Linked DNA regions of Saccharomyces cerevisiae S288C. Each later gene encodes a partner of the first gene's protein in a complex. Each region holds a gene or a part of one and is shown in the gene's direction. Other genes may lie near its edges. The genes, in order: RCO1, EAF3 and UME1.

What was found.
Region 2: the proteins of RCO1 (region 1) and EAF3 are in contact, whole or in part, in a cryo-EM structure (PDB 8HXX), measured with the Saccharomyces cerevisiae proteins. Residues at the interface, in NP_013791.1 of Saccharomyces cerevisiae: Cys266 (codon at 2,534), Gln268 (codon at 2,540), Gly270 (codon at 2,546), Ser271 (codon at 2,549), His283 (codon at 2,585), Phe284 (codon at 2,588), Leu285 (codon at 2,591), Cys286 (codon at 2,594), Leu287 (codon at 2,597), Asp288 (codon at 2,600), Pro289 (codon at 2,603), Pro290 (codon at 2,606), Pro293 (codon at 2,615), Glu323 (codon at 2,705), Asn330 (codon at 2,726), Asn332 (codon at 2,732), Val333 (codon at 2,735), Lys334 (codon at 2,738), Ile335 (codon at 2,741), Phe336 (codon at 2,744), Lys338 (codon at 2,750), Leu339 (codon at 2,753), Leu340 (codon at 2,756), Asn342 (codon at 2,762), Ile343 (codon at 2,765), Asp344 (codon at 2,768), His346 (codon at 2,774), Asn347 (codon at 2,777), Pro348 (codon at 2,780), Lys349 (codon at 2,783); in NP_015348.1 of Saccharomyces cerevisiae: Leu222 (codon at 2,405), Ile224 (codon at 2,411), Ile226 (codon at 2,417), Lys229 (codon at 2,426), Ser230 (codon at 2,429), Leu232 (codon at 2,435), Val233 (codon at 2,438), Asp234 (codon at 2,441), Trp236 (codon at 2,447), Glu237 (codon at 2,450), Tyr238 (codon at 2,453), Thr240 (codon at 2,459), Lys241 (codon at 2,462), Glu280 (codon at 2,579), Tyr281 (codon at 2,582), Ala283 (codon at 2,588), Gly284 (codon at 2,591), Leu285 (codon at 2,594), Leu287 (codon at 2,600), Tyr288 (codon at 2,603), Lys291 (codon at 2,612), Cys292 (codon at 2,615), Gly294 (codon at 2,621), Asn295 (codon at 2,624), Met296 (codon at 2,627), Leu297 (codon at 2,630), Leu298 (codon at 2,633), Tyr299 (codon at 2,636), Arg300 (codon at 2,639), Arg303 (codon at 2,648).
Region 3: RCO1 (region 1) and UME1 share a complex: the UniProt entries of both Saccharomyces cerevisiae proteins name them as parts of the RPD3C(S) complex.

Annotation. Positions count from the first base shown.
Region 1 is NC_001145.3:412,244-416,605, forward strand, and holds RCO1 (Rco1p), read left to right. Parts: upstream 1-1,738; coding exon 1,739-3,793; downstream 3,794-4,362. Other genes in the region: IRC21 (Irc21p), read right to left, coding at 25-630; SDD2 (Sdd2p), read right to left, coding at 793-1,230; YMR075C-A (uncharacterized protein), read right to left, coding at 3,445-3,810; sister chromatid cohesion factor PDS5, read right to left, coding at 3,953-4,362. UniProt on the Saccharomyces cerevisiae protein: Catalytic component of the RPD3C(S) histone deacetylase complex responsible for the deacetylation of lysine residues on the N-terminal part of the core histones (H2A, H2B, H3 and H4).
Region 2 is NC_001148.4:608,322-611,772, reverse strand, and holds EAF3 (Eaf3p), read left to right. Parts: upstream 1-1,741; coding exon 1,742-2,947; downstream 2,948-3,451. Other genes in the region: i-AAA protease YME1, read right to left, coding at 1-1,292. UniProt on the Saccharomyces cerevisiae protein: Component of the NuA4 histone acetyltransferase complex which is involved in transcriptional activation of selected genes principally by acetylation of nucleosomal histone H4 and H2A. The NuA4 complex is also involved in DNA repair.
Region 3 is NC_001148.4:289,160-292,983, reverse strand, and holds UME1 (Ume1p), read left to right. Parts: upstream 1-1,932; coding exon 1,933-3,315; downstream 3,316-3,824. Other genes in the region: protein phosphatase regulator GIP3, read left to right, coding at 1-167; SPP1 (Spp1p), read left to right, coding at 557-1,618. UniProt on the Saccharomyces cerevisiae protein: Catalytic component of the RPD3 histone deacetylase complexes RPD3C(L) and RPD3C(S) responsible for the deacetylation of lysine residues on the N-terminal part of the core histones (H2A, H2B, H3 and H4).

The DNA of each region.
Region 1 (4,362 bases):
CTTTTTTTTTATCTCTGGTAACCTTTATTCGCATACAACGCCAATGAAACAAACCTGTAATAATTTTTCATAGTTAACCCATTGATGATACTTATTAAAATATGTAATCAAATCGTCACTATTACGGTGCTTTATTAAGATGTCCGTACCACCTGGATGGAACTTCAAATAACTAGAAATGTCATAGACTTTGCCGTTTATAACGCACCATAACTCGTCCTCACCTTTACAATGCTTCTTTACGATTTTTCTGTTTATTCTTAAGGGTGGCATTATTTTATAAAGGGGTATCTTTTGGACAAGCAATTGGTTCTTCAGTTGTGAAGGTGAAAACTTGAAGTTATCTTTTTGAAATACCGGATCATCGAGTAAATCCTGGATAAGCTGTAGCGAAACGAATTTTGTATAATAATTCGCTGGATTGGAGGTTAGAGAGTGCCAGTCCAGAGCACTGTGCCCAGGATCTAGTCTTATTTTGGTTCTTACAAGAGGCTTTCTTGACGACTTCGACATGGGCATATGCAGCGGGGATGATATGGCAGGATGAGCAACGCTTAGTCGCTGAGGAGCAGCGAATCTGACATTTGGTTTCGAGTTTGAAACATCTCTGTTCATGCCGTCACTACTCATATCTCTATGAGTGTAATCTAAGCACCTGCTAATATGTTATATTCTGCTTATTCGTCCTTTTGCTACACATAATTAATGTAACTTTAACTCTAGTTCTATAAAGGATATGATTTGTACTAAATGTAACATTATACGAAAAAACATATTATTCGTTTATATAAACTAATCAAAGAAGTCGTCATCATCTTCGTCGTCATCATTTTTAGCATTCTGCTTGTCAAATGAATTCAGATCTTCGCTGAAATCTTTCCGTTCGAAGATAATCTTACTGTTATTTTGTGAATTTTGTTGCTTGGCGATACCATTCAAGATTGAAACAATTTCAGCTTCAGTGATTTTATGAGTGACGTTGTTTGTAGCAATCAGTTTCTTTAAGTATGTCTCTACTGCTTGGGCCCTGTCTCTACGGACCAAGGCCACTCGAGATAATCTTTCTAAAGCTTGTGGCTCCAAGAAATTTGCAATAGCTGCACCAACGGGAGCGGAATTTTCACCTCCACCATTATTAGCACCGCTATTTCTATCGCCGTTGGTACCCCCACTGTTGTTTTTCAACTGAGCCAATCTGGCTTCCCTAATAGCTTGTAACTCTGGGTCCATATCTGAGCACACACTTCCTCCTGAATTGTAATCCAGAGAGCAAGAAGATTTTTCAACTTTTACTCTTGGTTCTCCTTGTAGAACCACAAGTGGTATAAAAATTCTCGCTTACCCAGCCCAAAAATTCTCATCTGTTTCTCATCTGTTTCTCGTCCGAATAAGTTTCCCGTTCGCAGCTAGGATTTCACCTGCTCACCATAATAGGCAACTTTCTTCCTCATGTAGGAAATTATACTATTGCTCTCTGTTGCAAGGTTATTTTTGAGCCTTAATACCATATTAGTAGATATAAATACATATATATCGTGTTAACCCATAAGTGGTAGTTTTAGTAGCTCGCTGCAAGATCTGCCTCATTCCTTTGTAGAGAACGACGTACCCACTACGCGTTTGAACATTTGCAACAAGCACGAGAGGAAGGAAGAAGAATACCAAGTATAAACGAGAATAATCACCATAGAAAAACCTATAAAAGACACTTCCATTACCATCTGCTAATAATAATACAATGGACACCAGCAAGAAAGATACTACTAGGTCGCCCTCACATTCCAACAGTTCTTCTCCTTCATCTTCTTCTCTCTCTTCATCTTCTTCCAAAGAGAAAAAACGTCCTAAGAGACTATCCTCCCAGAATGTAAATTACGATTTGAAAAGGAGAAAGATCATCACTTCTGAAGGTATAGAAAGATCATTCAAGAACGAGCATAGCAATCTTGCAGTTGAAGACAATATCCCGGAAGAAGAACCCAAGGAACTTCTTGAAAAGGACTCCAAGGGTAATATCATCAAACTTAATGAGCCATCCACCATCTCGGAAGATTCGAAGGTATCTGTCACTGGATTGCCGTTAAATAAAGGTCCTTCTGAGAAAATCAAGCGAGAGTCTCTTTGGAATTATAGAAAAAATTTGGGAGGCCAATCGAACAACTCAGAAATGACGCTGGTCCCCAGTAAAAGATTTACTCAGGTGCCGAAAAATTTTCAGGATTTGAACAGAAATGATTTGAAAACGTTTTTAACTGAGAACATGACTGAAGAGAGCAATATACGGTCAACTATTGGTTGGAATGGCGATATAATAAACAGAACTCGTGACCGTGAACCTGAAAGCGACCGCGATAATAAAAAGCTATCAAATATTAGAACCAAAATAATACTTTCAACGAATGCTACCTATGATTCAAAAAGTAAACTATTTGGCCAAAATTCCATCAAGTCAACATCGAATGCGAGTGAAAAAATTTTCAGGGACAAGAACAATTCAACCATAGATTTTGAGAATGAAGATTTTTGTTCGGCTTGTAATCAGTCAGGTTCTTTTTTATGCTGTGATACATGCCCCAAATCCTTTCACTTTCTTTGCTTAGACCCACCAATTGATCCGAACAACCTGCCTAAAGGTGATTGGCATTGTAATGAATGTAAGTTTAAAATCTTCATAAATAACTCAATGGCAACTTTAAAAAAAATTGAATCCAACTTCATTAAGCAAAATAACAACGTCAAGATTTTTGCTAAATTACTTTTCAATATCGATTCCCACAACCCAAAACAGTTCCAGCTACCAAATTATATAAAAGAAACCTTTCCTGCTGTGAAAACGGGTTCGAGAGGACAATACTCTGATGAGAATGATAAGATTCCATTAACTGATAGACAATTGTTTAACACTTCTTATGGCCAAAGCATAACTAAATTGGACTCTTACAACCCGGATACACATATAGATTCAAATTCAGGTAAGTTTTTAATTTGTTACAAATGCAATCAAACCAGACTAGGTTCATGGTCTCATCCAGAAAATTCAAGATTAATAATGACTTGTGATTATTGTCAGACTCCATGGCATTTGGATTGTGTACCGAGGGCTTCTTTCAAGAACTTAGGTTCAAAATGGAAATGTCCTCTACATTCCCCAACTAAAGTTTACAAAAAGATACACCATTGTCAAGAAGATAATAGCGTAAATTATAAGGTGTGGAAAAAACAACGATTGATAAACAAGAAAAACCAACTTTATTATGAACCTTTACAAAAAATAGGCTACCAAAATAACGGGAACATTCAAATCATACCAACAACTAGTCATACAGATTATGATTTCAATCAAGATTTCAAAATTACACAAATAGATGAAAATTCCATTAAATATGATTTTTTTGATAAAATTTACAAATCAAAAATGGTTCAAAAAAGAAAACTCTTTCAATTTCAAGAAAGTTTAATAGATAAGTTAGTATCAAATGGATCCCAAAATGGCAATAGCGAGGATAATATGGTCAAAGACATAGCCTCTTTAATATATTTCCAAGTTAGCAACAACGACAAGAGTAGTAACAATAAATCGGCTTCCAAAAGCAATAACTTAAGAAAATTATGGGATTTGAAAGAACTGACTAACGTAGTCGTGCCGAACGAACTAGATTCTATACAATTCAATGACTTTTCCAGCGATGAAATAAAGCATCTGTTATATTTAAAGAAGATTATCGAATCCAAACCAAAGGAAGAACTGTTAAAATTTTTAAACATAGAAAATCCCGAAAACCAATCCGAATAGAAACGGCGTACATACATAAAGAATAAATCAGGAACGTGAACACCTTCCTTACATATATACACACATACATAGGCATATGTATCGCATCTTAAAGTGAGAGATCTACCTATTTTCCTTTTTTTTCCATTTACAACATAGCAATTGATGTTTTTTTCCCTTCTAAGTCATCTCGATGTCATCATCTTCATCGTCTTTGTAGTCAACTTCTTTCCTGACCCTCAATTTCTTCATCACAATATTTTCGTGCCCTTTCTTGGTTTCATTTTTGTTAGACGGTGAATAACTGTCATCATCACTGTCTGATTCTCGATCCCCATCACCTTCTTCGTCGTCAGCCTGTGATCTCGCATGATGAACTTTCTTCTTTTTTTTTTGTGATTCATTGTTTTCGTGAGCTAATAACCTCTTTTGAAGCCTTTGTCTTTGAGTTTGTGACGTGTGAAGAATCCGTCCGATTTTAGCTTTTATATTGTTTTGTATTTTTTCAGTCAAGCTCTCTGGTATGTATGTTTTGAAAGATAACTGGGCCTCCTGAACCGTTGCAAAAGGTTTGAACAAATCTGATGGTA
Region 2 (3,451 bases), on another chromosome or scaffold:
TTATCTAAAGCCTCAGGGAAATTTGTGGCACCAATAATAATAATTCCACTTGTTTGTGAGAAACCATCTAATTCGACCAATAACTGATTCAACGTTTGTTTGGCGTAAGCTTGGTCCTTTGGATTACGCTTACCACCGATGGCATCTAATTCATCAATAAAAATAATAGCTGGTGCACGAGAACGCGCTTGAGCAAACAAATCACGGATACGTTTAGCACCAACACCGACGTAAACTTCATCAAATTCAGAACCTGACATAAAGAAAAAATCTACACCAGCCTCTCCGGCAGTGGCCCTAGCCAACAAAGTTTTACCTGTACCAGGAGGTCCAGTCAACAGTACACCCTTTGGTAGTTTACCACCCAAGGACTCGTACTTAGTTGGATCTTTCAGGAAATCAACAATTTCTTCCAATTCCGCACGGGCCTCATCACAACCGCAGACATCATCAAATTTAACATTTGTCTTAGCTACATCAACTGATTTGTCGGCTACTTCTGACGACTTTAGTAGCGTTGTATTTTCTGTGATGTATTTAAAACCTTCAGAAAAAGAGTAGGTTAAGATACCGAAAACAAGCAGCCACTTTACCCATCTCGATACAACAGTAAAAGTTGATTCAGATACGACAACATGTAGTGGCTCTTTGCGAGATCCATAAAGCGGAGAATACATCGATGGAAAGTTACCATGATAACCTGACTGGTTTGATGAAGATGACGCCAATGATGGGTTAACTGCGCCAGCAGAGCTGGCTGTCAGTAGGTTTTGTCTAACGGCATCAGCCTCCGAGTGTCTGCCTATCCTCTGCAGGGCCTCCATGTACAGTTCCATGCATTCAGGCGATGACGCAATACCGGGGGTCTCAAACCTAGAGACCACGTATTGCGGGTAGTTTGATTGTAAGAGAAGTTTGTAAAAGGCTGCTTGTGCATCAGGACTCGTTAAGTCTTTATTGGCCTCTTGTTCTCTAGTTGCTAGCATAGCATGTGACACAGCTACGTTCGCTTGTTTGGTTTTATCATTAGTGTTCGATGGAGGTGGTGGTTGCGAATTGTCGATTGAAGATATCGTGGATTTATTGGATGCCTTTCCAGAGCTATCAGCTTCCTTCTTAGGAGGCATTTCACCGCTATTCTTTTCAGAATAAAAACGGTAGAACTTCTTTGATCTTAAGGCCCATTTTTTTTGAACTAACAAAGAAGCACCGATTTGAGGTAGCCTGGGAGCAAATATGCGTAAAACATTTGTCGTGACCGTGGGCGACACAAGTATTTTTGAAACGTTCATCTATCACGTCTCTGTTTTCGTTCTATCCACAATGTATTATAATTAAAAATTGCTTCAATAAAATCCTGTTTATCCTTTAAGCTGTGCTTGCTTTTTACTTATCAAAAACGCAAGGTAGAGATTTAACTCACTTCACCAACTCCGATATATTGCCTTTTCACTACCGCTACAGCGTACAGGAGCTACCACTCCTCGAAGAAAGAGGTACCATGTGATTCGAGATTACTAACCAACCGATGCTGATAGAAAAAGGTGGCGAAGATTGGGGGCCGTTCCTCCGGCGATCGCCACATATCGCATTTCACGAAAGATGAAAATAAAGATGCATCCGAAATCCCGACCAGAAACGTAAAAGGGTATATTGCAAAACAGTCGTTAAAAGCATATAGCATTTTGCATTAGCATCTGTGAGGCCTCGTCACTGGATTTACCCTATTGAAGAACGTATAATGGTTGATTTGGAGCAGGAATTTGCGCTCGGTGGGCGGTGTCTGGCATTCCATGGTCCTCTTATGTATGAAGCAAAGATCTTGAAAATATGGGATCCATCTTCGAAAATGTATACCAGCATTCCTAATGACAAGCCAGGTGGTAGTTCACAAGCAACTAAGGAAATAAAGCCACAAAAGCTGGGAGAAGATGAAAGCATTCCAGAAGAGATCATTAATGGGAAGTGTTTTTTCATACATTACCAAGGCTGGAAGTCGAGTTGGGATGAGTGGGTTGGATATGATAGGATACGGGCCTACAATGAAGAGAATATTGCCATGAAAAAAAGACTGGCGAACGAGGCGAAAGAAGCTAAGAAATCGTTACTGGAACAGCAGAAAAAAAAGAAGCTCTCCACTAGTCTGGGAGGGCCTAGTAATGGTGGAAAAAGAAAGGGAGACAGCCGCTCGAATGCTAGTATAAGTAAGAGCACTTCACAGAGTTTTTTAACATCTTCAGTGAGCGGCAGGAAAAGCGGAAGAAGTTCCGCTAATTCCCTCCATCCTGGCAGCTCTTTGCGCTCGTCATCCGACCAAAATGGGAATGATGACCGCAGAAGATCTTCTTCGCTATCGCCAAATATGCTACATCATATTGCCGGCTATCCAACCCCCAAGATTTCCCTTCAAATTCCCATAAAATTGAAGAGCGTGTTAGTCGACGATTGGGAATACGTAACGAAGGACAAAAAAATTTGCAGACTACCCGCTGATGTGACGGTAGAGATGGTACTGAATAAATACGAACATGAAGTGAGTCAAGAATTGGAATCGCCAGGGTCCCAGTCACAGTTGAGCGAATACTGTGCCGGTCTCAAGTTGTATTTTGACAAGTGCCTGGGTAATATGCTTTTATATAGGTTGGAACGGCTGCAATATGACGAACTTCTGAAAAAATCATCGAAGGATCAAAAGCCACTAGTACCAATTAGAATTTATGGGGCTATCCATCTGTTAAGGTTGATAAGTGTTTTACCAGAGCTGATCTCGTCTACTACAATGGATCTACAAAGCTGTCAGCTTTTAATCAAACAAACCGAAGACTTCTTGGTTTGGTTGTTGATGCATGTGGACGAATACTTCAATGACAAGGATCCAAATAGAAGTGACGATGCTCTGTATGTAAATACGTCTAGCCAATACGAAGGAGTGGCTTTAGGTATGTGAGACGTTTATATTCTAGCTTGGGATTATTTCTAGTATTTAGTTCTTCCGTATTTATGCAATAACTCTTCACAGAATATCTCGTGTAAGAATATGGACACTGTTCGTGGCACTTTACGAAATTCAAGTTTATTCTCTTTGCAAGGTTCTTAGGGTAATGGCAGCTCTGAAAGGGGCTTGTCGAGTTAAAACATCATTAATGATTATATTTTATTTTTGTTATTTTTCTGACGTATCCATCGTTTCGCATCTAGTATGAGCTTACTAAGAGCTTCGTATATAATGTACTATCATCTTCACTTACTCGTTTGCACACTACCAAGTTCTGTCCAGGGCTCCTTGTTTTATATTTTTAGTGTAATTGCATGGTCTATGCAACATGATTAAAGCAGCATCACACGCGCCATTATATAATCTAAAATAGTCCGTTGTCGTGCGCATTCTTCTGTGGCGCGTCTTATATGAGAAAAGGGTCTTTCGAAGTCATTAACCCTCTGACGCAGCAAA
Region 3 (3,824 bases), on another chromosome or scaffold:
TTACACCAGGCGTGGATTCTGATGTATCTGCGCCCAATACCGATAAAGGATCCGTAGAAACATTGCCTGCAGTCTCAACTGACGACCCAAATTGTGAAGTCAAAGTCACTGCTACCTATGACAAACTATTAAATAATTTGTCGATGGAGAGGTCAATCAGACTTTGAAGATACATGAATCCTTCTCTTCACTGATGGATCCATTTTCTTCTTCCTTTTTTTCACTGCATAAAACTTTTTTTATCAACCTTTCATATTTTCCATATTTATTTATATATACCGCCAGTAAATTTGGCGATATTCGATAGACTTAACAGATAAACTTTTTAAGATGAATTAAAGCACAGAGGATTAAGCTTACCTCTTTAGAATCAATTGATATGTTCGGCTACATATTAGACACTGCATATAACCCAAGGCGGGTAAAATATGAACAATTTCAATTGGGCTTTGTAAATGCTTACTTTTAAATGTAAACGAAGCTCATCAGAAGAAAAAAAACAAGAGATTTGGAAAAGGCTACTTCGACCTCAATAATTTCTCAGCCTATCTTTCTAATGTCATTACCACAATGGTGTCCACCGCATTCCACCTTAAAAAGAAATCCAACTACAGGAGAGGACGTATACTGCATATGTAAAAGGCCAGACTATGGGGAGCTGATGGTGGGATGTGATGGTTGTGATGACTGGTTTCATTTCACCTGCCTTCATATTCCTGAGCAGTTTAAGGACCTGGTGTTCTCTTTTTATTGTCCTTACTGTCAAGCGGGGATTACTGGTAAGAATAAGGACGCCATAATCAATGGTGAAGGGAGCTTGCCAAAAACCTTATGGAAAAGAAAATGTAGGATAAGTGATTGCTACAAACCATGTTTACAGGATAGTAAATACTGTTCTGAGGAACATGGTAGAGAATTTGTGAATGATATTTGGTCGCGATTGAAAACAGATGAGGATAGAGCAGTCGTCAAGAAAATGGTCGAACAAACAGGACACATAGATAAATTCAAGAAATTTGGACAACTGGATTTCATTGATAACAATATAGTTGTAAAAACAGATGACGAAAAGGAAATATTCGATCAAATTGTTGTACGAGACATGACGTTAAAAACTCTTGAAGATGATCTGCAAGAGGTTCAAGAGATATCGCTACCATTATTCAAAAAAAAGCTAGAACTTTTGGAAGTATATTTGGGATGGTTAGACAACGTATATACCGAAATGCGCAAGCTGGACGATGATGCTGCAAGCCATGTGGAATGTGGTAAAGAAGATTCCAAGGGGACAAAAAGGAAGAAGAAGAAAAATAGCAGCAGGAGTAGGGCTAGGAAAAATATATGTGGCTATTGTTCTACATACGAGCGAATACCCTGCTCTGTGGAAGAATTTGTCAGAGATTTTGGAAGTAATGAGGAAGCCACCAAAATACATGAGGTATGCACGAAGTGGAAGTGTAACAGACATTTGGATTGGGTGTCTACTAATCAGGAACAATACCTCCAGCAGATTGACTCTTTAGAATCTATGCAAGAAAGGTTGCAACATCTGATACAGGCCAGGAAAAAGCAACTAAATATACAATACTATGAGGAAATTTTAAGAAGAGGTTTGTAACGGCGTTGGAGCCTAATCAAATATCAGTTTCTACATATATATATACTTCGTAGTGATGATATATCAATTGGAGCGTCCTTGCATAGGCAACGCCTATTTGGATAGTCTTCAATTTCGACCCCATTTCACGTGAATAAAGCGGAGCTATCTCTGTTTTGCAAGGGTTCGGCCGATTTTGCTGCGAAATTTTAATAAGCGCATATTGATTTTTTCAAGCAATACTTTGTATATTCATGATCGAATGAATGAAAAAGCACCACTCCTCAGCCGCATACCTTCAGTATCGTATTTATTTCCTTCTTTAATCACTTAAAATGAGCACTTTAGATATTGCAGAAGACAACAAAATAAAAAATGAAGAATTCAAAATTTGGAAAAAATCAATACCCTCATTATACCAACATATTTCAAGTTTGAAGCCTATCTTTGGCTCAGGCGTTGACGAATCTCCATCGACACTTAGGAGTATAGTTTTCACTAACGATAGCTCATGTAATAAATCCAAAGGTGTTTTGAGCGTACCACTTTTATATTCTCAAGGGAGTGAAATCTTTGAGGTGGATTGTATAGTGCCACTCGGACTTCATTACAAAAAACCTGAAAGCATTTCAGAACCGTTAGTACAACCGGATTATACCATGGAATCTCAAAAGGTGGAGCAGACTGTTTTGATTCCAAAATGGGAATTTAAAGGTGAAACGATTGCAAAGATGATTTACGTGGATAACAGCGAAATAAATGTAAAGGTGATAGCCCTTTCTACCAATGGTTCTTTGGCATGGTTCAGAGAAGGTGTCAAATCGCCCGTTTACACAATGATGGAGCCATCCACTTCTCTAAGTTCAGCATCGTCCGGAAATCAAAATAAACCCTGTGTTGATTTTGCAATTTCTAACGATTCAAAAACCTTAACAGTAACTAAGGAAAAACATCTTGATAATGAAAACGCTACAATAAAATTGATAGACAACTCAGGTAAAATAGGAGAAGTGCTTCGTACAATACCTGTTCCTGGCATAAAGAATATTCAAGAAATCAAGTTTTTGAATAATCAAATATTCGCCACTTGTTCTGATGACGGTATCATAAGGTTTTGGGGTAATGAGATAGGCAAAAAGCCCCTTTGGATTCTAAACGATTCTTTGGACGGCAAAACAACTTGTTTTGCTGCATCACCGTTTGTTGATACATTATTTATGACGGGAACTAGTGGTGGGGCTCTCAAGGTTTGGGATATACGTGCAGTTATCGCTTTAGGGGATGCTGATGCTGAGTTAAATATCAACCAAGGACATAATAAAGTCAATGAACTATTCAAAGTTCATCACTTTTATAGCGAGCAAGTGTCCAAAATAGAGTTTTCTTCCATTTCGCCTATGGAAGTGGTTACAATTGGAGGGTTAGGTAATGTTTACCACTGGAATTTCGAACCTGTTTTTGCCATTTATAACGAGATACATGAGGACTTTCAAGGCATAATATCTGACGAATTGGAGGCCGAAAGCATGGCATTTTATCACACTGAGGGCTGCAGAAGAGAAATAGGAGAAAATAATAAGGTTAATACCGTTGCTTATCACAAATACATTGAGGATCTAGTTGCTACAGTTGATAGTGACGGGTTGTTAACTGTATATAAGCCGTTTACTGGAAAAGTTTTAGATGGCAGTAGAGAGGTTGGAGCTGCCAAAAGTTAATTTTTATATTATTTAGGCTGTTTGAGTTTGGGGCGGAAATGTATGAATAAATTGTGTAATATTTAGTCTTTACTTCAGCTTTTGTTTTTCTAAAAATTTGTTTTTAATGTTTTATTGTCTGAAGTAAACATTAATTATTAGCTTGAGAATTGCTCTACATGTATATATAAACGGCAAGGATCTACTCTTTAATATAGAGAAATGTACATACCTTTGAAAACGCGTTTTCAGAGTTTAGAATGTATAAGGTAACCTTAGAACCACATCTCTTATTGCCAGACTCTCAAAGGTGAACTGATATTGAGCCTATTTTACCCTTGTTTATGTTCACTTTCTCAATGCGAAAAAAAATCAAAAAGAAATAAACTTTATCCTTAGAGTTGAAGAATTAGAAAGAGAATAAATCAAAGGGATCAGTTGGGAAAGCTCAATACTTTCCGCTTAATTTTACTGAAAACCTCATCAAACACGTAGGCACATATATATTCATATATTTATATGTTGGCTAC